4 linked regions of the Diceros bicornis minor genome follow. The protein of the gene in region 4 purifies or fractionates together with the protein of the main gene of each other region. This does not show direct contact. Links are inferred from orthologs where the notes say so. Each region holds a gene or a part of one and is shown on either strand. Other genes may lie near its edges.

Region 1 (6,850 bases), on a different chromosome or scaffold from region 4:
ACTCTCAAGGGTTTCCCAAAAATGATTCTGAATCAAATTCAAGCAAAACTACCTAAAACTCTGAAAAGAGGCATGCAACGATAACTTTTGGCTTAACTGATCAGGAGTTACAGAGCCAGGTATGTGCAGACTTCATAACAAATTCTCATCTCCTGATACTTAAAAGTTTGCCTAAAACAGACATCAGTTTAAAAATGATTCAAGACTATCGAAGATGCAAAGCACCATTTCTAGCTCCTGGAAACTAACAATGAGGATTAATCAAGGTACCCATTACTGACACAAATGTTCTGAAAACAAAACAATGGAGCTGAGCTGAGGTAGATAAGAGCAGAGTCTAGCATCTCTTTTCCTAAACATACCCATTCCAGAGATAATAAGCTTAAGAGTGGATGTGAAGCATTTAGCAAAATGCCTGTGTGTAGAAGATAGTTCAATAAATGGCAGCTACCATTCTTTAAAGAAAAGAAAACAAACTGTTGATTTCTTTCTCATCACATTTATAATCCATTATCCCACTCATGTCTGAAATAGAGCCTAGTGGCTCTAAACCAACACAGTGCCTCAGAGTTATCCTGGATGGCCCAGGGCACCAACGTAGTCCACTAGGATGAAAATCTAAGGTGCATTCAATATTCACAAGTAATGGTCAAATTAATTTAATTTTGATGACTCTGGATCACAATTTTGAAGATCAACTGATTATCAGGGTCCTTAGGCCCCAGGCTAGTGCTTTTTTGAGTAATGAATTTCCTGTCACCCTTGCACATCTTCCCGCTGATGAGAGGAGGAGAGTGCCATCTTTCCAACAACTAAAATAGGGAAGGACTGAAAGGCGTACTCCAGGAATCAATTTTTTGTTTGTAGTGTATGGAATGTGAAACAACTAATAGAAGCCACTCAAAGGCTGCCTCACTCCTTCAATGGGTTCTCACCTGCTGGGTTATACTGATGAGGTCGCCAGAGGCTGGAGAACACCCCCACCGCAGATTGTCACTTAGGAGGTACTGAATAAAATTATGTGGAACAAAACTCACTATCAAGGATCTCTCTTTTCAACAAATGAGAGGGTGCTAATTTTAATATAAAAGCTCACACAATTTAAAAAAGGAGGATCCCAATAGGAAAAAATTGATCAAGGAAAAGCAGACAACAGACTACCATTAGCCAATCAACATATGCGGGGGGAGGGGTTCAGAGTCACTAATAATCAAAGATATTCAGATTAGATTGGGACTATTTTTCTTACTAATGATTTGGCCGAAGTTACGGGGGAAAAGTCAGCGTTCATGGGGTGGAGGGCAAGGAGAACTCTCCTATGTTTCTTGGGGCACTGACAAGCTTTAAAAGGTTCACCATCACTGCACTCGAGACCCCAACCTGAGGAAACAGTCTGAACTCTGTCTGTACAAAGCGTTATGAACAAAAATATTCACTGAAGCATCGAAAACCGCCGAAACGTGCAGTAATGCGTTCAGATATTGAAATCATTACAAAAGCTTCTCGTTACATGGAAAGTGTTCAGGCTAAATTAGACAGGGATAAAAAGCTCAGAAACAAAACAGTATACGTAAAATAATCTCAATTACTTTGTGGTTGCTTCTAGGAAATAGACAATCTCCCTCTTCCCAAATTTTCTACCATGATCATACATGTTTTCTGATTATAAAAGTAACAAAAAGATAAGGGATCATCACAGAGAAACTTGTTTCCCAAAGCCCATCCCAGCAGCTAACAGGTGGGGGCACTCATGGCGGGGGAGGTCTCGCCTTCCCCCTGCTTTATCCTAGGGTCGGGGGTACCGCAGGGGTAATGCTTTGGAGAGGTCTTCCACTGTTCCAGCAACATCAATGCTCTCTCACTCACTTTCAAGACTCTGCATTTAACAAACATTTCTTGAATAGCTACAATATACCAGACACTATGTTAGGCTCTGAGTTTTCCGGGCAGGAGGGTATTAGGCTTGCAATGACTCTCCAGTAGGAGAACACTTTTTGCCTTGGGCATCCCTAAAAGGACAGAACCACCAACAGGGTACCCAGGGGCGACGAGCACGCAGGCGGGCACGGCTGCTCCCAGGGGAACTTAAGGCTTCAGAGAAATCCACCCACTGTGGGTGAATCACAAATGGGTAGGGCAGCGCAGTCCCCTGGGCCTAGCCTTGGGGACTGAGTCATTCCAAAGCCAGCGCCGCCGGAAACACGCCCTGCGCCGCAAGAGGAGGAGTCCCAAGGGCGCCGCTCGGACCTCACTTCCTTGCGGCCACCTGGGCCTCCGGGCCGGACTCCCACACGCGAGGAGGGTCTCCAGCCTGGAACCGCCCCCTTTGCGCGGATACAGCACGCGTCATCTCTGGGGACCGGCAGCCGGAGGTCTCCGGCCTAGATCCGCTCCCAAGGGAGCTCACCCACCCAGCGCGGGTGGATCACGCCGCTCACCGGCGAGAGAGTGGCGGCCAGCAACCCCGTGCTTTCTCCAAGGGTCCCTCCACCTGCTGGCCCGGGCCCGTATCCGGATATTTATGGGGCCAAGGGCGGACTCCCTCCATCCCCTCCCTCAATTACGGCTTCCCGGACCGGGAGGTGCAGGAGGCGCAGAGGGGGACACCTGGGCGCTCCCAGTGCGCGTGCATCCCCCGGGCGCAGTGGGCGCGGGCAGCGCTGGGCACCCCGACCTCGCCCTCCAGGGCGCCTTCGTCCCCCTCCGCCCTTCCTCCAGGGCATGCTCGACACCTCCGGCGCACCCAGGCCCGGGCTTCTCGCAGTCCCAGGCCGAGCCGCCGCGTCCCCTTCGCCCAGGGATGCGGAGCGGCGGCCTGCCCAGCTCCGGCCCCTCGCCTTCCCCAGCTACGGAGGCTGCGCGTCGCGCCCGGCCTTCCCCGGGAGCGCGTACCTTGCTCTCGATCTGCTTCACCATTTTGGCAGCTGGAGTCTGACGAGCGACCGCAACAAGCGATGGAAGCGGATCCAAAGCGTCGGACGCAGCTTGGAGCGAGCGCAGCCCTCCTTCCCTTTATGCAGTAGGGGCGGGACGGGCGGGCGCGCGCGGCGTGCGTGTGGCGGGGGCGCGCCCGCTCGGGCCTCCCGAGCCCGCCAAGTCGCCCGGCCAGGCCCCGCCTCCCGGAGCCGCCGGGTGGGAGCGGGATCAATGTCGGGGGGCGGGGCCGTCGCCGGCGCGGGGCGGAGCTCCGGGAAGCACCCTCCGCCCGAAACCGCCGGCAAGGCTGTCCCGTACCCGGACTGGGATTGGGGACCTGTGGGGGCCATCGAGCGACCAAAAGGGCGCGTGCAGAGTGCACGGCGCGGGGAGGCGGGGAGGCGACGGCCATACCCAGAGCCACAGGGTCACGTGGGAAGGGGTCAGCCAGGCCTTCATAGAACGCGCCCAGGATCGAGAAGGTGCCGCCAAAGCCGGCGCTTTCCTGGAAGAGGCCCGCCACGCCCCCGCCCCCCAGCCGCGCGCACCCCCCAAGGTGCTGAGTAAAGAAGACCGGGAATTGTCTCTGCGTGTGCAGCCTGCCTCCTTCTCGGAACTCCCGGCGGGGATTCTCTGCTGCTCTTGCCTCGTTCACGTTCTTTCACTTTCGCCGGTGAAGCCGCTGCTTCAGCGTGACACCGCAGTTTAGTGCCATAGGGACGGCCGGGCACCTGGCTGGGCTCCTGGCGAGCACACAGCTGCGTGCGGGATGTGAGTACGGCCAGAGTGGTGCAGTTGTGACCCCGAGCGGGTCCTGACTGCCCGGTGCCTCAGTTTTCGTTTCTGTAAAATGGGACCCATGATGGTCTCTAACTCATGGTGGTGTTTTGAGGATTAAATCAAGTGCTTGTAAAGTGACTAGGATACTGCTTGGCACATGGTGAGCGCTCAGTAAATAGTTATAACGGTAGCTATTGTGAGCACTGATAAGGCTTGCTTGGTGTCATGGGGGGCCGTGCTGAGCTTGGCGACCTTATCTTTCTGATGGCACCGGTACACACATTTGTTGAATTTTTTCTACCAGTAGTAGACCTGGAGCAGAGAAGTGGGCCGTTTGTGTTCTTATAGGGATGCGTGTGGCAGGTTGCGTCCGGCAGGACTGGGGCTCGTGGAAGTTATGTTAGCGGGCATTGTGAAGCCAGGAGGGCCTTTCAGCAGCTGGAAGGGGAGGTGGAGAAGCTTTTGGGCTGGAGAGAGGAATGAGAGCCGGAATGTTGGGGTGGGGGGTCTGAGTGTGAATTTTCAGAGTGGAGCAGCTCTGGACGAAGCTACATCCATGTGTGATTGGCTGGGATGTTGAAATTGCTCCCTGGCTTCCTCTCAGGGCCCCTAGCTTCTCCGTGCTCTCTCAAACAGAGGAAGGAAGAAAACCAGAGGTGTTGAACCTATTGTGCAAAGTTTCTGGAGGGATGAGGAGCACAGGGCCATGGGTAAGGATATGGACAAGGGACACATGCTAAGGACAATCCTAGACAGAGGAGGGTGGACTGGCCTGAATGCAGCAAGCTTCCCATAGACAATAAAGACTATTGGGGCAGAGGAGAGGCCTGTGCTCCTGGAGTCCCAGGAGCAGAATGTATAACTTGCTTTGCTGCTGCTGTGTCTTCAGCCCAACTTACATCCCAGCTTCTAGGCCTATCTATCAGTTGGTACATTTATATGGGACATGACCTTAAATGATTCAGCTGTAGGAAGAGGAGGTATAGATCTCCAATGCCCATCCAAACCACCCTCAGCTGACATCTCTCCAAGGACCTTACAAATGTCCAGTGACTCGGTTGGAGGAGGTCCTGACTCCCACCTTCAGAGGACCAATATAAAGTAGATATGGGGGATGCTACAATTAGAGGGCACTGGGAGGCTGGCGTGTGTGTTAAGATCCCAGACCCTGTGATTAGATTCCCTGTCCTCATCCCCATTCTACCACTCTGTGGCTGGGTAACTCTAGACAAGTCTAAATAGCCTTTCTGTGCCTCAGTTTCCTCATCTATGAAATGGGGATAATATGCTATTATAAGGGTTGAGTGAGCTAAGATATGTGTAAAGTGCTAAGAATCTTGCCTGATATGCAGTAAGTGCTGTATAAAGTATGGTTACAGGCTATTAAATGGAATGGTGAGATCCCTCTGGAATGAGGGCAGAGGTAGAAGAGGCTGTAAAACAGATGTGCAAGTCCTAAGTGAATTAAGTAACCAGGAAATTAGTAAAGATTAGTGAGCTCAATAACACGAGTCTCAAAGGAAAAGGATTTTTTCCCTATCTAAGTGTGAAAGAAAAGTGGGCTAGACCTGGCCCTACCTAAAGAGGAACATCCCCTGCCTACAGGGATATAAACTTGCGTCCTTAGGATTTCAGTTGTGGCAAGGAGGTGATGTTCTGTGAGGAAAGTGAGGTGGAGGGGAATTGTTTGGGACAGCCCAGTCAGGGGGGATCCATTGGTGCAGAGAGCTAGGGGTGAGAGGAGGAGAGAAAGGGTGATGTAAAGGCCTTCATTTGGGGGTCAGTTCTGTGTATTAGTCAGAACTCGCAGTTGTAAGGAAGATTCCAGCTCAAACTGACTTAAACCAAAAAGAGAATTAGTAACTCATATTATCAGGAACCCCAGGGGCCTACAGATGTCACAGATCTCTATGGTTTCATTCTCAGGAGGTTCTCCACCTTATGTAAGACTAGCCCAGGCAGCGCCAGGCTTCTGTTCCTACCAGTTCAGTATCCCTGAAGGAAGGCCAATCTTCTCCCCGGTCCTAGTAAATGTCCCATAGGCTGACCTTCATTGACTTGAGTTGGGGGGAGGCGTCAGCCTTGCTTGAACCATTTTGACCAGGAGTGAGGAAAATCCAGAGGGTCACCAGAGAAAGGGGACATGGATGCTGGATAGGCAAAAGTGATGTTTCCATGTTGTCAAGAAGAACAGAAATGAGTAGTGTGGGTGAGGAACTCACTTCAGATTTCTGGGTCAGCTCAGTCTGAGGCCCCATGGGGGACTGGAAAACTAGGTTTGCTGTCTTTGTTCACATCTGAATTTGAAGAAAATGCAGCTCTAGGGCTTCTGAGGCAAAGTTTGCTCAGATCACAGATTCCTCTAAGTGTGGCCCTTGATCACCTCATTCAGCACAGCTAGGGGTGCTGATGATACTGCAGACTCCTGGACCACACACAGACAGGCACATGGAAGCACAGCCTTTGGAGGTAGATCCCTGGAATCTGCATTTTAAAGAAGCATCCCAGGTGATTTGGTGTAGAAGATTTGATAGACTGCCCTGGGATCTTCAGAGGGAGGCCAGCTTGAAGGCTGTGTCTAGCAAGAGAGTTGAGATGAGGACACAAAAGAGAAAATGGTAACGGATATAAAATGGGGAGTTCAAAATAATATAGTAAAGAAGGTGGTCGAAGGAAAAGGAACAAATACACATGCATAGAACAATCATTAAGTGCCAGGCCTGGAGGTAGGTGTAGCTTCATTTTTCTCAGCATCCCCTCGGAGACAGATATTATTCTTCCCATTTTACAGAGAAGAAAATCAAGGTTCAAAGAGGTCACCTGGTCACACCAAATGCACACCAATTCTTATACTCTGTTCAAGAAGGAGAGGACTTGCCAGCACTGTTTTAAGCCAGCCCAACATGTATCTTGAATACCCCTCTTTTAACCAGTGAAAAATATCTAACATTCCTTACACTAATTTACAAACTGTAACTATAAGGATATTCGAATAGTTGGCAGAAACATCCTCTGGTACATCAATTCCTATTTGGAGATTTTTCAAATACTAATTTTTTTTTTTAATTTTTTGTTTATTGCAGTAACATTGGTTTATAACATTGTAAAAATTTCAGGTGTACATCATTGTACTTCTATTTCTGCATAGATTACA
Region 2 (7,258 bases), on a different chromosome or scaffold from region 4:
CGTGCCTGGGATCTGAACTGGTGAACCACAGGCCACCGCAGCGGAGCACGCACACTTAACTGCTTGCGCCACCGGGCCGGCCCCTGGGTTATGCATTTCTTATTCTAGCAAATAGAAGCCTAGCACTTCAACGAGGAGAGAGACCCTCGTTCCCATGGGACTTTATATAGTGGGGAGGAGGGTGATTGTTGAACAACACAGAGAACAGCATCCTAGTCGTCATTTTGACACAAAGCACAAAAGATGTTTTACTTAGAACTTAAGTTGACTGAAAAATAAAAACAAAACAGAAAACTAAGAGAATACTACTCAGCCTAAAAGGCTGCAGGTAATGAAGTTTAGATACAGACCTTAGAGGGATGTGGGGGGAAGGCAGGAAGAAGCAACAGTATGGTCAAAGGCTGTCTGAGTGCAAATTCCCTTCAGATGGGCCCTTACGAAGGGACATACCGAAGAGTGCTCTTTGGCTCAGGCCTGGGGGGGACTGTCACTCACCTTGACTTTGGCAGCCAGGGTGACGACTGATAGGTGTCGAAGTTTATTCTTCTGAGCCTCTGTGAGTGGGGGAAGATTCCGGGCTTCAGCTGGGAAAAAAGGACAAAGTGTAGGAAATCCTGACTTCACTTTTGTGGGAAGCCCTAGCCTTCTTCCTTTGCATTTCTTTGTGTGTGTTCTCCATGCCAATTCAGGTCTTGACCATGACCCTGCGTACCTAAGGAACCTAAGTAAGGTATGCCAGGAATTTCTTCTAAGTCCCTCCAGAAATTGCCCTTCTCCCACCTCCATGACTCCGGAGCTCCAGCCCCTCTGGTTACCTAAGTAGTCAGCATATGTCCCATAAGCAAACACCGTGAGCAGCCGGAATGTGGACGCGAAGTCACTCTCAGCCAGCTGCAAGAACATAAGCAGGGAGAAGAGGTGACAGGAAGGGCCTCTCTCTCCAACCTCCCAGCCTTACCCTGGTTTGAACTCCACTTTCTGGCCCCATCTTTCCCCTCCAACATTAGCTCTCCCAGCTCACCAAAAGGAACTCTCTGCCTCTCTGATCACTTTCCCAAATTCCCATAGAATTTCCCAATTCTGCCTCACTTCCCCCTTCAGGCCTTTGCTTACACTATTCCCCCAATCCACAACGCCTTGTTCCTCCACAGGCCTCCAATTCCTACCCTAAATTCAGAGGTGAAAACGTTCAGAGTGTTCAGTGTCTCACACACACACACACACACACACACACATTATAAACGGCGTTGTTTGGTCCTTAGAGTGTGTTTAATATTTCTGCATTTGAATATCTTTAGGCAGTCTGCTGTACTCCCCAATTCACCAAAGACGCCTCCCTCAGCCTCTCTCATCTCTGATAGCTGCATGGCCTAGGCAGGCACTGGAATTTGTGGCCTCTGTTTCAGACCTGCCTCACCCAGAAGGCTTTCATCACCCAGGCCAGCCCACCCAGATCTCCTCTCTTCCTATCACTAATCACTCATTCTGGCACTTAATCAATCAAACCCTGCCTAAGGTTGTTACCCAAGAATATGTTTCTTTTCAACAAGATTACAGACCCAGCCTCTGGTATCCCACTTAGGTCTAGCAGAGCTATGCACGTAGTCAGCTCTCTAAACAAATACTTGCTGGTGTCATACATCTTGGTGACCCACACACTCTGGACTTTAAACTCTTAACTCTGCTACTTCTGTGTGAACAGTTCTCTCTGCTGTGTTTCTAGCCACGTGTCTTTGAGGAAAAGAAACCTCCTAACTTATCTAACTTAAGTGAATTAGCTATCATGCAAAAGGGGGAGAAGAGGGCATGCCAATTTCATGTTTGTTCCTTCCATTTGTCCCAGACTTTACACTTTTCCATAATCTCAACTGATTCCTACAGTAACAGTGAAGGGCAGTATCAGCTCCCTTTTTAAAAGAGAAAACTGAGGCCCTAAAATAAAAGTGACTCGATCAATGTTACACTGGCGGAGACAAGCTGAAATCAGGTCTCCTATTCTGAATCACATGCTCTTTTGCTTAAAAATGAAAATACTGGGGTTTACAGATCATTCATCCCCAAAGGGAAAGTAGGAGGTTTACTTGCATACTTACTTTTGCAAGCTGCCAGTTAATCATCAACGCATTCTTGTTCAACTGAATGGTTATGGGGTTGCAAAACGTGCCCTGCCCACTCATCCTCAAATCCAAACTTTAGCCCAAGTTTCCCTGTGGGCTATTCAGGCCAGGAACCCACCTCTCTAACATTAGGCATATCCAGCAGTTCCCCAAACACGTAGACACCAGGGGCCTCCAGCACCTGGTGGATGAGTGTGGCCAGCGCTGCCCCCTTGGCCGACTTGGCCAGGAGCAGAAACTGCTCCTGGTTCTGCCCTGTCACCTTCACCTCGGCACTCATGGCTGCACTGAGCTGGGGGACCTGGGCTCAGGATGTCTGGAGCTGCAAGGAAAGAGGATGTGAAGCTGGAAGTCCCTCAACACTGGGAGGTGGGGAAGTACAAGGGCTAGGGACTGGTCTGCAGAGGCACTGAGTGTCTGCAGTGAGGAATCAGAGATGGAGCTGTCTAAAACTCGGATCTAGGAATCCTAAAATTGGCCACTTTGATGGAAGTCTGGCTGAGACAGGATGGCCACGCCCACCCTCTCCCATCCCTGGGCCTAATCTCAAGCCCCACCACGTGCACCCCCTTGAACCCTAAGGCAAGGATGCAGTGGGGAAGGAGTGTCACATGATGTCCACCCCAACGACGACGCTCCCTCAAATCGCCACTGGTGCCCCGAATGTACCCCCAGCCACGTGATGTCACCCTCACAGTCCTTCCACGTGGCTCCGCCCCCTCCCTTAAAGAAGCCGCCAGGGACCGTGGGCTCCCGCAGCCTGCCCCGTCCTACCCCGGGTCAGACTCTGCGGGCCGCTACCTGGAAGCTTCGTCTTCCAGTGCACCGGGCGGGGCCGCCGCTCCGTCACCTCCGGCAGCTGCTCCGAGCCCTTCCTGAGACCTCTCTGCAGGGGCACTCTGGCCACTACACTCTATGGCTGACTTCCGGCCGTACTTCCGCTCTTATGAGGCCGGTTTCGAGCGCAACATGCCCCGCCCCCTCCTTCCGACTGCTGAAGCTCCTGTGAGTGACACAAGCATTCTACTTGCTGATTGGCTGTTGAGGAAAGAAGGACGGGTGCCTTTTTTTCTGCTTTGTTTTAATAAAACTTTATTGTTGGACGAGCGCTAAGACGCTAAATGCAGAGGGAACTCGTGGTCTCAGTCCGGTACCTGGTGGTTCTGTGGCAGCTCTAAGCTGCCTGATATCTGGAGATCCAGGCTGCACGGGTGCCTGAGGCGAGAGGAAAGCTATAATGGAGAGAGAGGGAGAAGAAGAAAAAAGGTGGGGGGATGAAGAGGAGAGAGGAAGAGGACAAAAATCAATAATAGAAGTTTAGCACCAGAGATCACCTGGGTAGTTCAACCACTCATTTTTTTGAGGAACAAGAGAAAAGAAGTGGAAAAGGTAAAGCAAATAATAATATCTAATATGTATTGAGTGCATACTATTGGTTAGGCATCTTTTAAAATTTTATCTTATTGAATCCTCATAACTATACTGTGCCCCCAGTGTGACTCCAGGACACTGTCTATCGTGATTACATGTACTTGTAGAGTGATGCTTTCCTGTATATTGACTCTTAATTCCTCGAGGAGGAAAAAACCCTAGGTGGAAGGAAGGCATATGTTATTATTCTCATTTCACAGATGAGGAAATTGAGGCTCATAAAAATTCAGAGATTTGCCTAGAACCCAGGTCTTTTCAAAGCCAAAGCATCTTCCCATTTTACCACTGTATTTTAGGAAAAAATAAACAGCTAACATTTCTACACTTTTATCTTTCATACCAGGCTTGCAGAGGGTCAAATGAGAATAAAGTTAATGACTTCTTGGAGGCCTTTGTGTTAAGCACTGAGCTAAGAGCTTTACTTAATTCATTTGATGGTTATAATAATCTATTATTATTTCCATTTTCCAAATGGAAAAATTGAGGCCCAGGGAAGTTAAGTAATTTATAAGTAATGGAAAGAGAGAAAGTGGGAAAAGAGAACATAAATGAAGAGAAAATCACAGGACTGGTAGACTGCTGGAGCTGAAGGGACTTGAAGCTCAAAGTTTATGGTCCACATGGCTTGGTTTATGATAGAAAATGAGAAGCAGAAACTGGGAAAGGAGAGAGAGAAGGAGAAGAAGAAAAAGAAGGAGGAAGAAGTGGCAGAGGAGGAGAAAGAGAAGAAGAAATGAATGGAAGAGATTACACATAAAAGTGAGAAGAGGGGCCCGCTCCGTGGCGTGGTGGTTGAGTTTGCACACTCTGGTTTGCCGGCCTGGGGTTCACAGGTTCAGGCCCCAGGCGCAGACCCACGTACTACTTATCAAGCCATGCTGTGGCAGGTGTCCCACATATAAAGTAGAGGATGATGGGCACGGATGTTAGCTCAGGGCCAATCTTCCTCAGGCAAAAAGAGGAGGATCGGCAATAGATGTTAGCTCAGGGCTAATCTTCGTCACCAAAAAAAAAAAAAAGTGAGGAGAAGAGATCAAAGGCATAAGAAAATATCCAAAGTTTGGAGGAACCAAAGAATTAATGAATCCAGTCTTATCAATTTAAAGAGGGAAGGAAAAAGAAAAATATGAAGAAAGAATGAGAAAAGAGCCAACATATGTTCTATTATGTGCCAGGTCTTTATTTGTTCAACTTTTTTTTTAAGACTTTATTTTTTAGAGCAGTTTTAGGTTTACAATAAAATCGAGAGGAAGGTACAGAGATTTCCCATATACTCCTTGCTCCCATACACGCATAACGTCCCCCATTATCAATATCACTTACCAGAATGGTACATTTTTTATCAAGGATGCACCTATACTGACACATCGTAATCACCCAAAGTCTGTAGTTTACCTAAGGGTGGGTTTGGACACCCGTATAATGACATATATCCATCATTATAATATCGCACAGGGGCCGGCCCCCTGGTGTAGTGGTTAAGTGCACACGATCCGCTGCTGGCGGCCTGGGTTCAGATCCCCAGTGTGCACTGATGCACCGCTTGTCAGACCATGCTGTGCGTCCCATATAAAGTAGAGGAAGATGGGCATGGATATTATCCCAGGGCCAGTCTTCCTCAGCAAAAAGAGGAAGATTGGCATGGATGTTAGCTCAGAGCTAATCTTCCTCACAAATAATAATAATAATAATATCATACAAAGTATTTTCACTGCCCTAAAAATTCTCTGTGCTCTGCCTATTTATCTTTCCTCACCCCCCACCCCTGGCAACTACTGATCTTTTTATTGTCTCCATAGTTTTGCCTTTTCCAGAATGTCATAGAGTGGGAATCATACAATATGTAGCCTTCTCAGATTGGCTTCTTTCAACTTAAGGTTCCTCCATGTCTTTTCACGGCTTGATAGCTCATTTCTTTTTAGTGCCAAATAGTATTCCATTGTCTGGATGTACCACAGTTTATTTATCCATTCAGCTATTGAAGGACATCTTTCTTCCAAGTTTTGGCAATTATGAATAAAGCTGCTATAAACATCCATGTGCAGGTTTTTGTGTGGACATGTTTTCCACCTCTTTAGGTAAATACAAAGGAGCATGATTGCTGGATCATATGGTAAGAGTATGTTTAGTTTTGTAAGAAACCACCAAACTGTCTTCCAAAGTGGCTGTGCCATTTTGCATTCCCACCAGCAATGCATGAGAGTTTGTATTGCTCCACATCCTGGTCAGCTTTTGGTGTTGTCAGTATTCTAGATTTTGGCCATTCTAATACGTGTGTAGTGGTATCTCATTGTTGTTTTAATTTGCATTTCCCTGATGACATATGATGTGGAGCATCTTTTCATATGCTTACTTGACATCTGTATATCTTCTTTGGTGAAGTATCTAAGGTCTTTGACTCATTTTTTTTTTCCTTAGATCAATGTGTCATGGAATGACCCATTTTTTAATTGGGTTGTTTGTTTTCTTATTTGTTGAGTTTTAAGAGTTCTTTGTATATTTTGGATAACAGTCCTTTATCAGATGTGTCTTTTGCAAATATTTTCTTCAGTCTGTGGCTTGTCTTCTAATTCTCTTGATATTGTCTATTGCAGAGCAGAAGTTTTTAATTTTAATTAAGTCAAGCTTATCAATTATTTCTTTCATGGATTGTGTCTTTGGTGTTGTATCTAAAAAAGCATCACTATTCTCAAGGTCATCTAGGTTTTCTCCTATGTGATCTTCTAGGAGTTTTATAATTTTGCATTTTACATTGAGGTCTGTGATCCATCTTGAGTTAATTTTTATGAAGTATGTAAAGTTTGTGTCTAGATTCTTTTTTTTTTTTTTTTTGTGAGGAAGATCAGCCCTGAGCTAACATCCATGCCAATCCTCCTCTTTTTGCTGAGGAAGACCGGCCCTGAGCTAACATCTATTGCCAATCCTCCTCCTTTTTTTTTTCCCCCCCAAAGCCCCAGTACATAGTTGTATGTCATAGTTGCACATCCTTCTAGTTGCTGTATGTAGGACGCGGCCTCAGCATGGCCGGAGAAGCGGTGTGTCGGTGCGCGCCCGGGATCTGAACCCGGGCCGCCAGCAGCGGAGTGCGCGCACTTAACCCCCAAGCCACGGGGCGGCCCTAGATTCATTTTTTTGCATGTAAATGTCCAGGTGTTGTAGCACCCTTTGTTGAAGAGGCTATTTTTGATCTATTGTATTGCCTTTGCTCTTTTGTCAAAGAATAGTGGACTGTATTTATGGGGGTTTATTTCTGGGCTCTCTATTCTGTTCCATTGATCTGTTTGTCTATGCTCTTGCCAATACCACACTGTCTTGATTACGATAGCTTTATAGTAAGTCTTGAAGTCAGGTAGTGTCAGTCTTCCACCTTTGTTATTCTCCTTCAATATTGTGTTGGCTATTCTGGGTCTTTTGCCTCTTAATATAAATTTTAGAATCACTTTGTTGATATCCATAAAATAACTTGCTGGGATTGGGATTGAGATTGCATTAAATCTATAGGTCAAGTTGGGATAAACTGATATCTTGACAATATTGAGTCTTCCCACCCATGAATATGGATTATCTCTCCATTTATTTAGTTCTTTGATTTTGTTCATCAGAGTTTTGTAGTTTTCCTCATAAAAATTATATATATAGTTAGATGTACACCTAAGTATTTCTCTTTTTGGGGTACTAATGTAAATGGTATTCTGTTTTTAATTTCAAAT
Region 3 (7,192 bases), on a different chromosome or scaffold from region 4:
AAGTTCCTCATACCCCACCCTTGATAACTGATCACCCTGGCTTGCCTTCAGCAAGAATTTGAAGTCAGTTTAGCAAGAATCCCCCTACCCTTGACATCTCCTCATAGTAATTTTCCATCTACTGACCCCCTCACTTTGCTTGTTGGCTATAAATCCCCAGCTGTCAGTGCTGTATTTGGAGTTGAGCTTGATTACTCTCACCTGTTGCAATGCCCCCATTCGATAGACTCGAATAAAGTCTTTCTTACTATTTCTTTTGTGTGTGTGTGAGGAAGATCAGCCCTGAGCTAACATTCATGCTAATCCTCCTCTTTTTGCTGAGGAAGACTGGCTCTGAGCTAACACCTATTGCCAATCCTCCTCCTTTTTTTTTTCCCCCAAAGCCCCAGTAGATAGTTGTATGTCATAGTTGCACATCCTTCTAGTTGCTGTATGTGGGACGCGGCCTCAGCATGGCTGGAGAAGCGGTGCCTCCGTGTGCGCCTGGGATCCGAACCTGGGCCGCCAGTAGCGGAGCACACTCAACTGCTAAGCCATGGGGCCAGCCCAAAGTCTTTCTTACTATTTTAACAAGTGTTTAAAATGTTTTTTGTTTAGGGCCGGCCCAGTGGTGTAGCGGTTAAGTTCGCGCATTCCTCTTCAGCAGCATGGGGTTTGCTGGTTCAGATCCTGGGTGTGGACCTACTCACCACTCATCAAGCCATGCGGAGGCAGTGTGCCACGTAAAAGAACTAGAAGGACCTATAACTAGGATATACAACTACGTACTGGGGCTTTGGAGAGAAAAAAATAAGTTTTTTTTTGCTTTTCTAGCAATTTGTCCATTTCAGCTGGGTTATCCAATTTTTTGGCATACAGTTGTTCATAGTACTCTCTTAGAACCCTTTTTATTTCTGTAGCATAGGTGGTAATGTCCCCACTGAGATTTCTGATTTTAGTAGTTTGAGTCTTCTCTCTTTTTTCCTTAGTCCATTTAGCTAAAGGTTTATCAATTTTGTTGATCTTTTCAAAGACCTAACTTTTGGTTTCATTGATTTTGTTTTGTTTTTCTAGTCTCTATTTTGTTTATCACTGCTCTAATCTTTATTATTTCCTTCCTTCTGCTAGCTTTGGGTTTAGTTTGTTCTTTTTCTAGTTCCTTAAGTGGTAAAGTTAGCTTGTTGATTTGAGATCTTGCATGTTTTTTAAGGTGAGCCTTTATAGCTATAAATTTCCCCCATAGCACTGCTTTCACTGTGTCCTATAAGTTTTGGTATATTGTGTTTTCATTTATCTCTAAGTATTTTATAATTTTCCTTGTGATTTCTTCTTTGATCCATTGGTTGTTTAAACGTGTGTTGTTTAATTTCCACAATTTTGTGACTTTTCCAGTTTTCCTTTTGTTATTGATTTCTAACTTCATCCTGTTGTGGTCAGAGAAGATACTTAGCATAATATCTGTTTTTTCAAATCTATTGAGACTTAATTTGTGTCCTAATATATGGTCTATCCTGGAAAACGTCCCATGTGCGCTTGAGAAGAATGTGTATGCTGCTGTTGTTGGGTGGACTGTGCTGTATATGTCTCTTAGATCTAGTTGGTTTATCGTATTGTTTAAGTCCTCTTTTTCCTTACTTATCTTCTGTCTGGTTGTTCTATCCACTATTGTGAGTGGGATACTGAAGTCTCCAACTATTATTGTAGAACTGTATATTTCTCTCTTCAATTCTATCAGTTTCTGCTTCATAAATTTTCAGCCGTTATTTCTTCAAATATTCTCTCTGCCCTCTTCTCTCTCTCTTTTCCTTCTAGGACTCCCACAATGTATATGTTGGTTCATTTTATGGTGTCCTATAGGTCCCTTAGGCTCTGTTTGCTTTTCTTCAATCTTTTTTATTTCTGTTCTTTGCCTTGATAATTTCTATTGTCTTCAAGTTTTCTGATTCTTTCTTCTGCCTGCTCAAATCTTCCTTTGAATTCCTCTAGTGAATTTTTCATTTCAATTATTGTACTTTTCAGCTCCAGAATTTCTTTTTGGTTTCTTTTTAGGTTTTCTATCTCTTTATTGATATTTCCATTTTGTTCACACATCATTTTCTTGACTTTCTCCACATCTTCCTTAAGTTCTTTGACCATCTTTAAGACAGTTGTTTTAAAGTCTGTGTGGTATATTTGCCATTAGGTCTTTTTCAGGGACAGTTTCTGTTGATTTTTTTTTCCTTCAAATGGGCCATACTTTCCTATTTCTTTGTACGCCTTATGATTATTTTGTTGAACACTGGACATTCGAATCTAGCAATGTGATCACTCTGGAAATCAGGTTCTCCGTCTTCCCCAAGATCTGCTGTTTTTTTGTTATTGTTTTTATATTTTTGATTGTTGTAGGCTGTCTCTGTGCCAAGGATAAGCCTGAAGTGTAAACTTAAGGTCTTCTCAGGTCTTTTTTCAGCCTTTCCCTGGGTGTGGATGGTCACTTTCTAATTTTCCCCATCTTATATGAGGTTGTTTTTAATCTACTAGTCTTTAAATGTCTGGTTCCCAAAAGATGAAAAAGTGAAAAATGAAGGAGGGGAAAAAGGGTGCTGGTCCTTTAAATCCCATGGAATTCACTTCAGCTGGGGGGAGGGAGGCTTGCAACAGCACCAAGAGGTGCAACAACAATGGTTACCCCTCTTTGTCTACACCTGTGTTCAGAAGCAGACATCAGAGCACAGATCCTTGATATCTAGAGGACAGGTTCCTTTTTGCCCACCCTGGCTCCCATAAGCTATGTGCAAGCTGCGCCAGGAACATGTGTACAGCTGCCTGCCATGGGGCTGGGGGTGAGGGACAGGTAACTGCCACTGTGCAAACTGAAAATCACAGCAATTGACTGTCCAAGTCTTCCTCTGGAAGTCACCAGCCTTCAACATACTCCACAGTTCCAAAATAGAATCAGACAGATTCTGCCAGTGCAATTGTTGTCTAGGTGGGAAGACAGATTCCTGGTGTGCTTCCTACTCTGCCATCTTCCCAGAATCCTCTATTTCATTATTTTTATTATTTCCAGTTTACTAAAGTGTTTTTGGCTTGTGCTTGAGCTCAGCTTTGACTGCATTCCATAAGTTTTGATATGTGTCCTCCTATTTTTTGCTACTAAATTATGATTTTATTGTTTTGTACCAGATAATGCCACCTGTACCATGTTTGCTTTGGTACATTTGAAGGTTTTTTTTGAGATTTAAAATATGGTCTGGGCTGCCCAGTGGCTTAGCAGTTAAGTGGGCGCACTCCGCTACCGGCAGCCCAGGTTCCCCGGGCCCGCACGGACACACCACTTTCCAGCCATGCTGGGGCCGTGACCCACATACAGCAACTAGAAGGATGTGCAACTTTGACATACAACTGTCTACTGGGGCTTTGGGGAAAAAAAAAAGGAGGAGGATTGGCAACAGATGTTAGCTCAGAGCCAGTCTTCCTCAGCAAAAAGAGGAGGATTAGGACGGATGTTAGCTCAGGGCTGATCTTCCTCACACACACAAAAATAAATAAATAAAATATGGTCAATTTTTGGTGACATTAAAAAAAAAGAATCCATGAGTCCACAATGATACTGGAAAACAGACAGAATAGAGGAAGGGGGAAAGAGAAGGGAGGGCTCTTTTTTTACAGAACATCAGCTGTTAGATGTAGGGGGTTCCAAGCTCAGATCCTGGGATTACACAAGAGCAGCGGCCCTCTGGAGTGGTGACTTGGACATCACTGGGGTTGGGGGGCTGTGAGGAATCATGCCCTCCAGCCCCCTCCACTTCCAGGCGAGAAACTCCTTGAGGCATAGTCTAGGGACCTGTCTTAGGCGCTGCAGCTGGCGATGAGTGCCTGAGGGAACAAAAGGGCAGAAGCTTCAAGGGCCCGCAGGTCTGAGGAGGAGCCTGGGGCTTGGGCCTGGCCGCATCCAGCTCGGGGCTCACACTTGCTCAGCGCGCCCGGCACGCGACTCATCGATGGAGCCCGCCTCCAGCCCCAGCTCGGGGGGCCGCGCGCGCCTCCGCACCCCGACCCGGCGGGGACGCGCCTGGCGCGGGGACGCGCTCCCCGCGACTCGGAGCAGGGCGGGGCAGGCGGCGGCGCGCGGCTCCGGAAACGCCTTTTCCGGAAGGCAGGGGGGCGGCGCCAGCCTCCGGGGCGGCTTCGGCTATGGCGGCTGGGTCGCTGGAGCTGTCTCCCTAGCCAGGCCCTGCGCCGCCAGAGGATGGCCTCGCTCGGGCCGGCCGCTCCGGGCGAGCAGGGCCCGGGGGCTGAGGCGGAGTCGGGCGCCGCGGCGCCGGCGTCGCCATCGTCTCTGGGGCCCCTGCTCCCCCTGCAGCGCGAGCCGCTCTACAACTGGCAGGCGACCAAGGCGTCGCTGAAGGAGCGCTTCGCCTTCCTCTTCAACTCGGAGCTGCTGAGCGATGTGCGCTTCGTGCTGGGCAAGGGCCGCGGCGCCGCGGCCGCCGGGGGCCCGCAGCGCATCCCCGCCCACCGCTTCGTGCTGGCGGCCGGCAGCGCCGTCTTCGACGCCATGTTCAACGGCGGCATGGCCACCACGTCGGCCGAGATCGAGCTGCCCGACGTGGAGCCCGCCGCCTTCCTGGCGCTGCTGAGGTGAGCGGCCCCGGCCGACGGGGCCCGGCCGCCCGGACTCCCCGGTGACCTTGAGCCGGGCTCTCCTGACCCGCCCCGGGCCTCTGTCCTCCCGAGCCGGTGATGCTCCGGAAGGTCGAAATCAGAATCCGTCAGGCGGGCGGCCGCCGCCGGGTGTTAGGGCGAAGGTTAAGGTCGGGGTCCCATTAGCGTGCGCTTTGCCGTTGAGAGGCGCCTTCGCGTTCCAACAGCGGATTATCGCCGAGGCTTCAGAGTTAGAGAAGTGGGAAGGATAGAGTGTGGGTCAGGTTGTCCTGATGGCCCGTTTGCCAAATTTTATGTTTTTTGAGGGGAGAGGGGAATAGTTGAAAAGTCTTGTAGGACCTAGGGCCTTTTTTTCTTTTAAACTCTTACTCCTATTTCATTAGCATAAGTATTAGTTGTCAAGACCCAGGAAAGTGAATACCAAAACAATAAGTGTGGCTTGACCTGCCTTGCGTTTCTGCAGGCAAGGTCACACTAGCCTAAAAACGAATCCCTCCATCGGTGTTCGAGTTTGCTTTTTGATTATTTGAGGATAGTAGATTGACTTCTGATTAATTTTATTTAATGGAAGGGAGCTAATAGTTTGCCATTATTAGCTTTTAGTCACAAAAGTCCAATTAGGGAGGTATAGGTCTTGTTTCCCACAATTTTACAAATGGGACTGAGGCCCAGAAGAGTCAGATAACTTGCCCAAGGTAACAGAGCCAACTCACACGGAAGACCGTTTGTGTTTCATTATACCAAAATGGTTTTAGCTGCCTGAGTAGAATGTGTTGTTATTAGTAGCAGAGTCTTGGGTGGTACTGAGGCAAAAACAGGTAGGTCAGGGAACAGATGACAGCCTGCAAAGGCTCACAGCTCAATCAGGAAGATAAATAGGAAATTGAATACAGAGTTAACCCAAGGAGGAAAGAAATGCTAAGATCCTGTTAATAAATGGATAAAGGACAAGATAGATAGCTTAGGGAAAGAAGAAAATACAACTAATTAACAAAGAATGTTTAATCTCGTTAGTAATTAGAGAAGTGCAAATTAAAAGTAAAGTACTTTGCGTCTTCTGTTAAACCATCAGAGGAGCCCTCTCTTGCAAAGGTGGTGGTAAAACACTTTGGCACCAAAGATTTTTTTTTACCACAGATAAGAAGTATTCAAGTACTGAAAAAACAGTCTACAAAAATTTTGCAGCAGGATTATTTATAGTAGTGATGAAGTAGTCAACTGGAGGGAATGGTTAGATATACAGTGATAGGTCAATTTGATGGAATGTCATGCAGCTACTAAGTATGATGCTTATCAAGACAAGGTAGTAACATTAACATGGAAAATGTGTATAATAAATAGTATTTGAAACTGTGCACACTGTGGTTAAAGAAACAGAACAAACATGTACCTAGAGATAAGGATAGAAGGAAACAGCAAAATGTGAACCGAAGTTGTGTTGGATTGTTAAGATGATATTGCCTTTTTTTTTTCTTCTTTTCTCTTTGATGCCCATATTTTCTGTAATTTAGTTCAATTACATTTATAAAAGGAGAAGAAAACAATTCAAAAGCTAGGATCTAGGTCATTTTGGTTTTTGGTTTGAAGTTGACCAGGAGGATTGGTTATAGCTTGTTTAGATTTTCTAGACTGGAAGTGTTTTAAAATGATCTGTTGGTCCATCTGCATTGTAATCTCCCAGAGTACTTCTTGAATTTGTAGATCCCTTCTTCCCTCCTTACAATATTGCAGTGTTTTGAGGTAGAACCTCAAGAGCATTTTTAATATTCTCCCAAAATACTAACTGGCTAAATTTGAGAGCCAGTGATCAAAAAATATTGTTGGGTAGCTTTTCCCTTTAAAAAATATTGAGATTGCTAGGATAAGAATGTAGAGGGAAAAATGCTTATTTCATATTTTCACTGAAGCTATTAATCAGTCTTTTCCCATCAATAGAAAATAAGTGAATTAATTCAGAGTCCCTGAAATTTTCCTATTTTCAGTGTAGTCATGGCATTTGTCCTTCTTCAGGTAGGTTCCAGTCGTTATTCTATTCTGAAAGTGATATCTGGACTGAGTTTAACCTAGATATTGGCTGGCTGTGAAACGTAGATGCTGAACCTACTATTGTGTGACAAAAAGATGTTAGCACTTGCTGAGTTGGAAAAGCAGATTAGCTTGGGCATACTTTTATTATGTGCGCAACTTGAATTAGTTAACATTAGTTACAGGCTTTTGAACGTGAGTTTGAAGCACTTTAAGAAACTGCTCAGGGCAGGCCCCGTGGCTTAGCGGTTAAGTGCCCGCGCTCTGCTGCTGGCGGCCTGGGTTCGGATCCCGGGCGCGCACCGACGCACCGCTTCTCCTGCCATGCTGAGGCCACGTCCCACATACAGCAGCTAGAAGGATGTGCAGCTATGACATACAACTATCTGCTGGGGCTCTGGGGGGAAAATAAATAAAATAAAATTATTAAAAAAAAAAAAAGAAACTGCTCATTTTTATCTGCCTGACCTTTAAGTGATGTTCATCAGCTGTTCATTTGAGAAATACTGTGTTCCTCCCTTGTGCCAGTCGCTGTTTTAGA
Region 4 (6,860 bases):
ACACATAGTTCAAATTTTTTTTCCTTGTGATGAGAATTTTTAAGACCTACTCTCGAGTGTGAGAATTTATTTAAAAAAAAATCCGTGTTAATCTCATATACATTTTATATAAAAATTGTTGGAAATAACTTAAAATAGAAACTTTAATGTAAAGAGGATAGTTTTAAGCTTAGCAACCCAGAAGTAACCATGAGACTCTTAACTTGCAGTTACTAAACTTTAAGGAACAACATTTTTACCTGTTTGGCATTTTCTATATATGCAGCCATGTACTCATATGCAGCAGCCTGAGCATTTACTCGGGTTTCAGTGCCCTCTACAGGCAAAGCAAAACTGTCCATAATGATCATTGTTTCACCATCCACTTTTCCCAGCATCAAGCCCATCACTTCCAAGTTGCCTCCTGATCTGGCATGCATCACCATTTTCAGTAGAGCCAATGCTGAGATTTTGCAGTACTTAAAGTAATGGTGACTACAAAACAAAAGCACAGTGTAATTAACTTTCTTATATAAAGTACAATTTCAAAAGACAGTTTTTGTGAAGATAACAAATATTGGAGGAATTTACAGTGATGGAAGGGGGAGAAAGAATGTAGAATGTAGGAAAGAAAAAGGAAGTAGGAAAGGACAGAGTTCCTACAGGGGGATGGAAATAATAAATATGTCATAGTCCTGCAAAGTATTTCGCCTTGGGGCAAGGGAAAAGTATGAAATAGTTTTCAAATATGCTATTCAAGGAGAAAGGAGGGAATTACATGACCACTTTAATAGATTTTTTCTCCATTAATTTTGGAATCACCAAATCTCTGATTCTGACTCTGTTTGGATGGTTGTACCTAACTGTTCTCAGGCTTAACCTTCTGGCCTAATGGTTAAGAATGTGGGCTCTGACATCCATCTGTGTAGGTCCTAGCTGTGGCCTTGAGACCACCACTTAATGTCTGTGCCTCAGTTTCCTCATCTGTAAATAGGGATATTTTATAGAGTTGTTAAAAGGAAATAAAGTAAATGAAATAATATATACAAAGTGCTTAGCTTAGTGCCTGACACATACTAAAACTTTGTAAGTGCTAGCTGTTATTAGCATTATTAACCTATCTTTTACAATACTCCCAAAGAATAGTGTGTTGAAGAGTGTGGCTTCTCTCTGTGGTATCAGCTTCAAAATTGAAAATGTAGCCCTAATATCTTCAGTTCTACTCTAATCACTACTTCAGAGTTTGTCATTTGTGGATGTGACTAAACTGCTCTTGAATAAAATTACATTTTCTGTCTCATTGATGCAGCCCAAGACAGCTAGGATGAATATAATCATCCAAAATCAGTGAGGCAACCTGATAGTTTCCAAATATTTAATAGGCTACATCAACCTAAAATGCATAGCCTGCTATAGAAGTAAGAAGACAATCAGGCAAACTAACCAGTCTGTATAGAGTGGTCAGTCAATGTTTCTGAGAAGCCTTTTTAAGATGTCTGCCCACAGATTTCAATCACAACTGAAAAATATGGAGACGTGGTCTTGGGAGTCAAGACATGAATTAAAATCTTGGCTCCTCCATTTACTGGGGAAAAGAAAAAAAGACACAGTTATTGTGCTCCTATTACATACATTCTAGACCCGTTTTTATACATTACCTCATCTAATCTTTATGGCATGACCAATAGGTACGTCTTATTTCCACGTTACAGATTAAAAAATGAAGATGGATAAGTAAATTTCCTAGGATGAATCAACTAGTGACAGCTGTGAGATTTGATCTTGGGTCTGACTATTGCTCACTTAAGAGTTCATTGCCTTAGTGTGATCATAAAATAAGTTACTGTATTTGCTTGTTTTCTTATCTTCAAAAAAGGAATGAAAATACAGTACTGTGTTGTCATGAGAATTAAATGACATATGGAAATTCCTAGCTCAGCGCTCAGCCCATATTAAGTACTCAATGAACACTGCTAAATCTGAATACTGACACTTAAAGCTTGCCTCATAAAAAACTGGGAGACAAATGAAGTACAGTTTTTGTTGTTAACCACCGCTCTCCTTTCTTTCTCTCCATTAGAGAGATTGTGCTTTTTTTACTTTCTCCTTAACAAAATCTGTTCTCAGGAAAGGATAAATGCTGAGTAATGAACCTCGATTTGTCATCACTCCCAGGGACACAGGGGTTTTGCTAAGAGGCAAGGAGCCCTAAATTCTATTGATATAATTTCTAGTTTATGTGCACTGGTAGAGTAACATTTTGGGAGACTGGGTAGAGCCTCCTTGTGTTTCTGAAATAATTACCAGCAATCAAAAAACAATTATAGATCTCTAAAAGATGGCACATAGTTATTTTAGAGACCCTTGGGCTAACTCAATTTCTGAAGACAGCTGCAGTCTCCAGTATGGGATCAGCTGAAGGTCCCAAGAAGGTGTCTATAGACGCAGGATTCAATGCATAGTGGGTGGCATATACGACAAAACGGATGTTGAGAAGTGACAACCCAAATCACCGCTTGCCGTTTTCCTCTTCCATCCTCCGGAGGCAAACGGGTTAAAGAAACAGATAGGGCAGTCGAAGCAAGCCCCCGTGGAGGAGCTTAAGATCTCTACTTGCGGGGATAAGAGGTAGACAAAAATTTCTCAGGCGCATATTCTTTCTCCTCCCTGCCCACGAAAAGACAGGCTCTCCACCCCTTCAATTCCCACTTCTCTGGGTCTCAAACTCCCGCCACCCCTTCCCTCCCCTGCGTCTCGCCAGGGACCTCCTCACTCCTTAGTCCAGGGCTTCGCCGCCAGGATTTCCTGCTGCTGTTTCTTGTCGTATTTGTAGATTTCATCGATACTCTGGGCTTCCTGCATGTTGTTGGCCAATTCCCAGGTTTTCTGGGCCATACCACTCCCGGACGCCGCCATCGTTGAGGAATCGGAGAAGTCGTCGCCTCCACAACCAAAACGCAACTTTACCTCGCTAGGTTTCCGGCTGTGGGCTTCGGACCCTCCCCACCACAGGTGCAAACTCGTACTAGGCTCTCGAGGCAGCCATGACACCTAGAACCGGAGGTGAAGTTGGTACAGACCATTCGAGGATGGCGGGGACCCTTCGGGGGGCGACAATAGAAACAGCAGTTTCATAATAGTGAGAGACAGGGGAATCTTCCTGTGGCTGAAATGAGGACACATTATCTTGGAAAATTATATGTGTGAATTAGGACAAACACAATGTTGGCTACGGGAATGGTATAGCCTTCCGCACCGGAAGAAGGGCATGGTAACGTTATGCCAGAAACTGGAAGTGGCCCTCTTTGTTTGTACTGCGCACGCTCGGCCTCTGCCATATTAAAAATGGGTGGATCCTTAAGCTGGGATGGGGAAAGAAAATTTTATGTGGGTGTGGGTACCTTAAATGAAATGTTTGTTGAAAGACTGAAAAATAAGGATGTCTGTGGAAAAATTGAGATATAAGTAGTTATGGATGCTGGTTGAAAGAAAGATAAACATGGCATCCTAGTTTACTTCCAGATGATTCACTGCACATGCGTAAAATCCTGTGGGCTCCTGGTGTTGGGCGCTACGCTTTCAGAGGGGCGTTCTCTAGCGTTCGGAGGCGGCTGTGGAAACTGGTGGATTGCTCTGAACATGCTATTTGGCGTGTTTGTAAAAAGTAACATCTATATGAGTTAATAGTATTCTGAAAATGTCCAGTACTCAGTTCTTATAATAGTTTAGTTTAATCTTCAGCATTGCTCTGTGAAACCACTTCTGTCCTCGAGACCGAATTAATCTCAGCAAGGTGTTTTCTTCCAACAGTTAATGCAATGTTTAATTATTTCATTTATTTTCTTGTTTTAGGGATTTTTCCTTCTCCGCCTCTCTCCCTCTCTGCACTAGATTCTAAGTTCCAAAACACAGGGACCAGGTTTGTGTTCCTTGTTTTATCCCTGTCACCTAGCATAGATGTTCAATAAATTTTTTGCTGGGAGAAAAACAAAAGAATAGCATCAGAGCTCATGTCTCCAGCTTCATCTTTCTTTAGTCATCCTGAAACTGCATATGTGGTCAGCATTGGCTAAAATGCTCTCCCCTAACTTTTCTGCCTGGGAGCTAATATTAATCTTTTGATAATATATATCTTTTAATATAGTAATAATTATTTACTTGAAAGTTTTTCTTTTTTACTGTAAGCTTCGGAATGTAGGACACTCCGCTCTGAGTTGTATCTTCCACTCCTAGTACGGTGTGGCGTATATTCCAAACAAAAACATTAGAATTATCTAATCCACGTCCTCCCCTGCGGTTTTGACATTGACTTTCAGTTGAAAATTTGTCTTTAAAAGCCTCTTACGAAGTAATTTAGGATGAAGGACTCTTCTATTCTCCTGGGAAGCTAGAGATCTCTTTTCTGGTGGTAGCATATGGCCACTCAATATTGGCGTCAACTGAGTATGTTGAAATTAGTAATAAAAGCCAAGGACAAAACGTTGACCAGACTCCTGGGAGAGGCGTAATGTCTTGGAAAAGTACGTCAACAAGTTTTTCTCTCACTGCCACCTCAACCCTTTTTTCTTTCCAGGTTTCGACCCTGTTCCAGGCCGGCTGGGGCTTGCAGGGTTTGGAGGGGCTGGAATCGATTTAGCCTGGGAAGTGGCTCGCACGGTTTAAGCCCCCAGGCGGAGCAGGGGAGCCAGGCGGCTTAAGTACCTAGCCTAGGTGCGGGCGAGCCCTGCGAACAGCCAGGAGGCTGTGCGGCCTCCGGGGCGGCAGGGGGCGCCCCCAGCCGCGCGGCCTTCCCCCGCGGCCGCTGTGGGGGCGGGGCCGCGCTCGGCAGTTGGCGAAGGGCGGGCGGAGGGCTCGGCCGGAGAGGCGGAGCCCGGGCCCTGCGGCTGTCACACTGTTCCCGCGCCAGGCGGCTGCCGCCTCCTGTTTCGACCACGGAGAGCGTCGTTAGAGCGCTGTGCGTCTCTCCGGACGCGAGCCCGCTCTCCTGAGTAAGCGTTCGCCGGCCGCGGGTGGGGAGCGGGCCTGGCGGGGTGCGGTCGAGGGGCGGGGGTTGTGTCCCAGGGCTGCGTTCGCGGCCCCGGGGCGGGGGCAGGAGCTGCCTGGGGCGGAGGTCTCGCGACGGCTGGGACGGCGGCGGTGTCCGGGTTACGGGGCTCGGGGGCTCGGGTTTCCTGCCGCATGGGGTCTCGCGGCCGCCGGGCTGGGGGCGGTGCCCGGTTTCCGCGGGGCATGGTTCCCTGTGGTGGGGGTCTCGCTGCAGCAGGGCTGGCGCGGGGGCGGAGCCCTGGTTACCGAGTCTGAACTCCCGGGCCGCAGCCGCCGCGGCCGCCTCGGGTGTTGTTGAGAGCCGGTTGCTTGACAACGCGTTGATGCTTCCTCACGCGGCCGCCACCCACAGCTCCTAGAGACGAGCGGTGCTTCCACTGCCGTGCGCCTTCGCTCCCCCTCAGCTGGGGCTCCGCCGTTCGGCTAAGCCTCCCCAAGCCCCTTTCCTCTGCGGTGCTGGTTAATGGTTAACGTTTGCCGAGTGCTTGTGCGCCCGGCGTTGTTCCCGCCGCTTTGCTTTGCAAGTAAAATTTATTTAATCACCGCAGCCCTGTGAGGTCGGGTGCTATTATCCTATTGCCCCTGGCTCTTTGTTTCCTTCCTCTTCTTTTTAACTGCCTTGATTTTAGGATTGTTTTATGGGGTTTGAATCCAGTTTTCAGTAGATGTTAGCCATGGGACTCATCTTTTGAGAGAGGCTGGCTCTCAAGATTGTAGGATTAAAGAGTTTAGCTTGGATTTCCGGGAAGACTAAATTCTAAAGTAAACCACCACCTAGTTTCGAAACACCTCGGAAAATGCAATAGCCTAATAGCAGCCAATATGAGTTGGTAAAAAGCCAGTTATCCTTAGAGTGATGCTGTTTTATATGAAAAACTGGCTTGTCATGTTGACAAGCCAAAAGGAATCCCATGGAAACCAATGAGATGCTGCTTTTTTCCTGCATATCCTTCCCTCGCTAGGAGGACACTGACTGTCTGGTGGTTAAATATCTGCTGAAATGCTCCCAGCGATGAAATTTTGGGTCTCCTGCAGTACAGATGAGCTTCTGGAAGGGAGCAAGTGGTTTTAGATAGGGTAAATTGAAACAGGATGCTTTCAGTACAGTTTTTCTCAAATGAAGTTTTCAGACAAATGCAATTTAATTCTCACAAACTTTGAGCAGATTTCAGATTATCCTTTTAACATCATTCTGACTTGTATTCTGATTCCTTTGCTGAGTGGGAGAGACAGGCAGTTGAGCAAGTGTTTTGGCAATTTTGCGTTACCCAAAGGCTATCTAATTTATGCTGCTGTCGGTGGTCACTATAATGATGTATTATTAACAGCTGCTAACAGACTTAATAATGCTTTTATATATTCACTCTCTCTGTTTATCCTAACCCCCAACCTCCCTTTTCCCCCCCAGCAACATGGTATTTATTTCTTAGCAACATTTGGGGGGATTTGTCAAAATCGGGGTGTGCCTGTGGAAGTAGGTTGATTATGTGCTTGTCACCCTGTCAGTAGAAAAAGATTGAGCACCTTTCGTTTGGTGGAAAGATCTCTGGATGGATGGGAAATGAGAAACATTGTCCTGGTTCACCTCATCCCTCCCTTTCTTTCTTCTAAGGCTCTTTCACAGGCTCCTCCCCACACCCCACACCCATGTGTTAGCACTCCCTGCTATTCTGTTTTCAGTCTTTTTTTTTTGTGAGGAGATCAGCCCTGTGCTAACATCTGCCAATCCTCCTCTTTTTTTTTGCTGAGGAAGACTGGCCCTGGGCTAATATCCGTGCCCATCTTCCTCCGCTTTAAATGGGAGGCCGCCACAGCATGGCTTGCGAAGCAGTGCG

What was found.
Region 1: the proteins of COPS5 (region 4) and TXN purify together in Homo sapiens (affinity purification with western blotting; 3 studies listed by BioGRID and IntAct, with this or other methods). This does not show direct contact. The link is inferred for Diceros bicornis minor from reciprocal best matches to the Homo sapiens genes COPS5 and TXN.
Region 2: the proteins of COPS5 (region 4) and COPS7A purify together in Homo sapiens (affinity purification with mass spectrometry; 19 studies listed by BioGRID and IntAct, counting the BioPlex papers as one, with this or other methods). This does not show direct contact. The link is inferred for Diceros bicornis minor from reciprocal best matches to the Homo sapiens genes COPS5 and COPS7A.
Region 3: the proteins of COPS5 (region 4) and BTBD1 purify together in Homo sapiens (affinity purification with mass spectrometry; 3 studies listed by BioGRID and IntAct, counting the BioPlex papers as one, with this or other methods). This does not show direct contact. The link is inferred for Diceros bicornis minor from reciprocal best matches to the Homo sapiens genes COPS5 and BTBD1.

The regions. Positions count from the first base shown.
Region 1 is NC_080767.1:19,027,845-19,034,694, forward strand, and holds the start of TXN (thioredoxin), read right to left. Parts: upstream 3,001-6,850; 5' UTR 2,917-3,000; coding exon 2,893-2,916; intron 1-2,892. UniProt on the Homo sapiens protein: Participates in various redox reactions through the reversible oxidation of its active center dithiol to a disulfide and catalyzes dithiol-disulfide exchange reactions.
Region 2 is NC_080756.1:55,005,212-55,012,469, forward strand, and holds the start of COPS7A (COP9 signalosome complex subunit 7a), read right to left. Parts: upstream 3,026-7,258; 5' UTR 2,919-3,025; exon of another isoform or gene 2,807-2,918; intron 2,440-2,806; 5' UTR 2,398-2,439; coding exon 2,236-2,397; intron 2,213-2,235; exon of another isoform or gene 2,178-2,212; coding exon of another isoform or gene 2,094-2,177; intron 892-2,093; coding exon 816-891; intron 585-815; coding exon 496-584; intron 1-495.
Region 3 is NC_080744.1:95,509,147-95,516,338, reverse strand, and holds the start of BTBD1 (BTB/POZ domain-containing protein 1), read left to right. Parts: upstream 1-4,170; 5' UTR 4,171-4,210; coding exon 4,211-4,602; intron 4,603-7,192.
Region 4 is NC_080772.1:19,447,607-19,454,466, forward strand, and holds the start of COPS5 (COP9 signalosome complex subunit 5), read right to left. Parts: upstream 2,947-6,860; 5' UTR 2,896-2,946; coding exon 2,753-2,895; intron 475-2,752; coding exon 240-474; intron 1-239. UniProt on the Homo sapiens protein: Probable protease subunit of the COP9 signalosome complex (CSN), a complex involved in various cellular and developmental processes.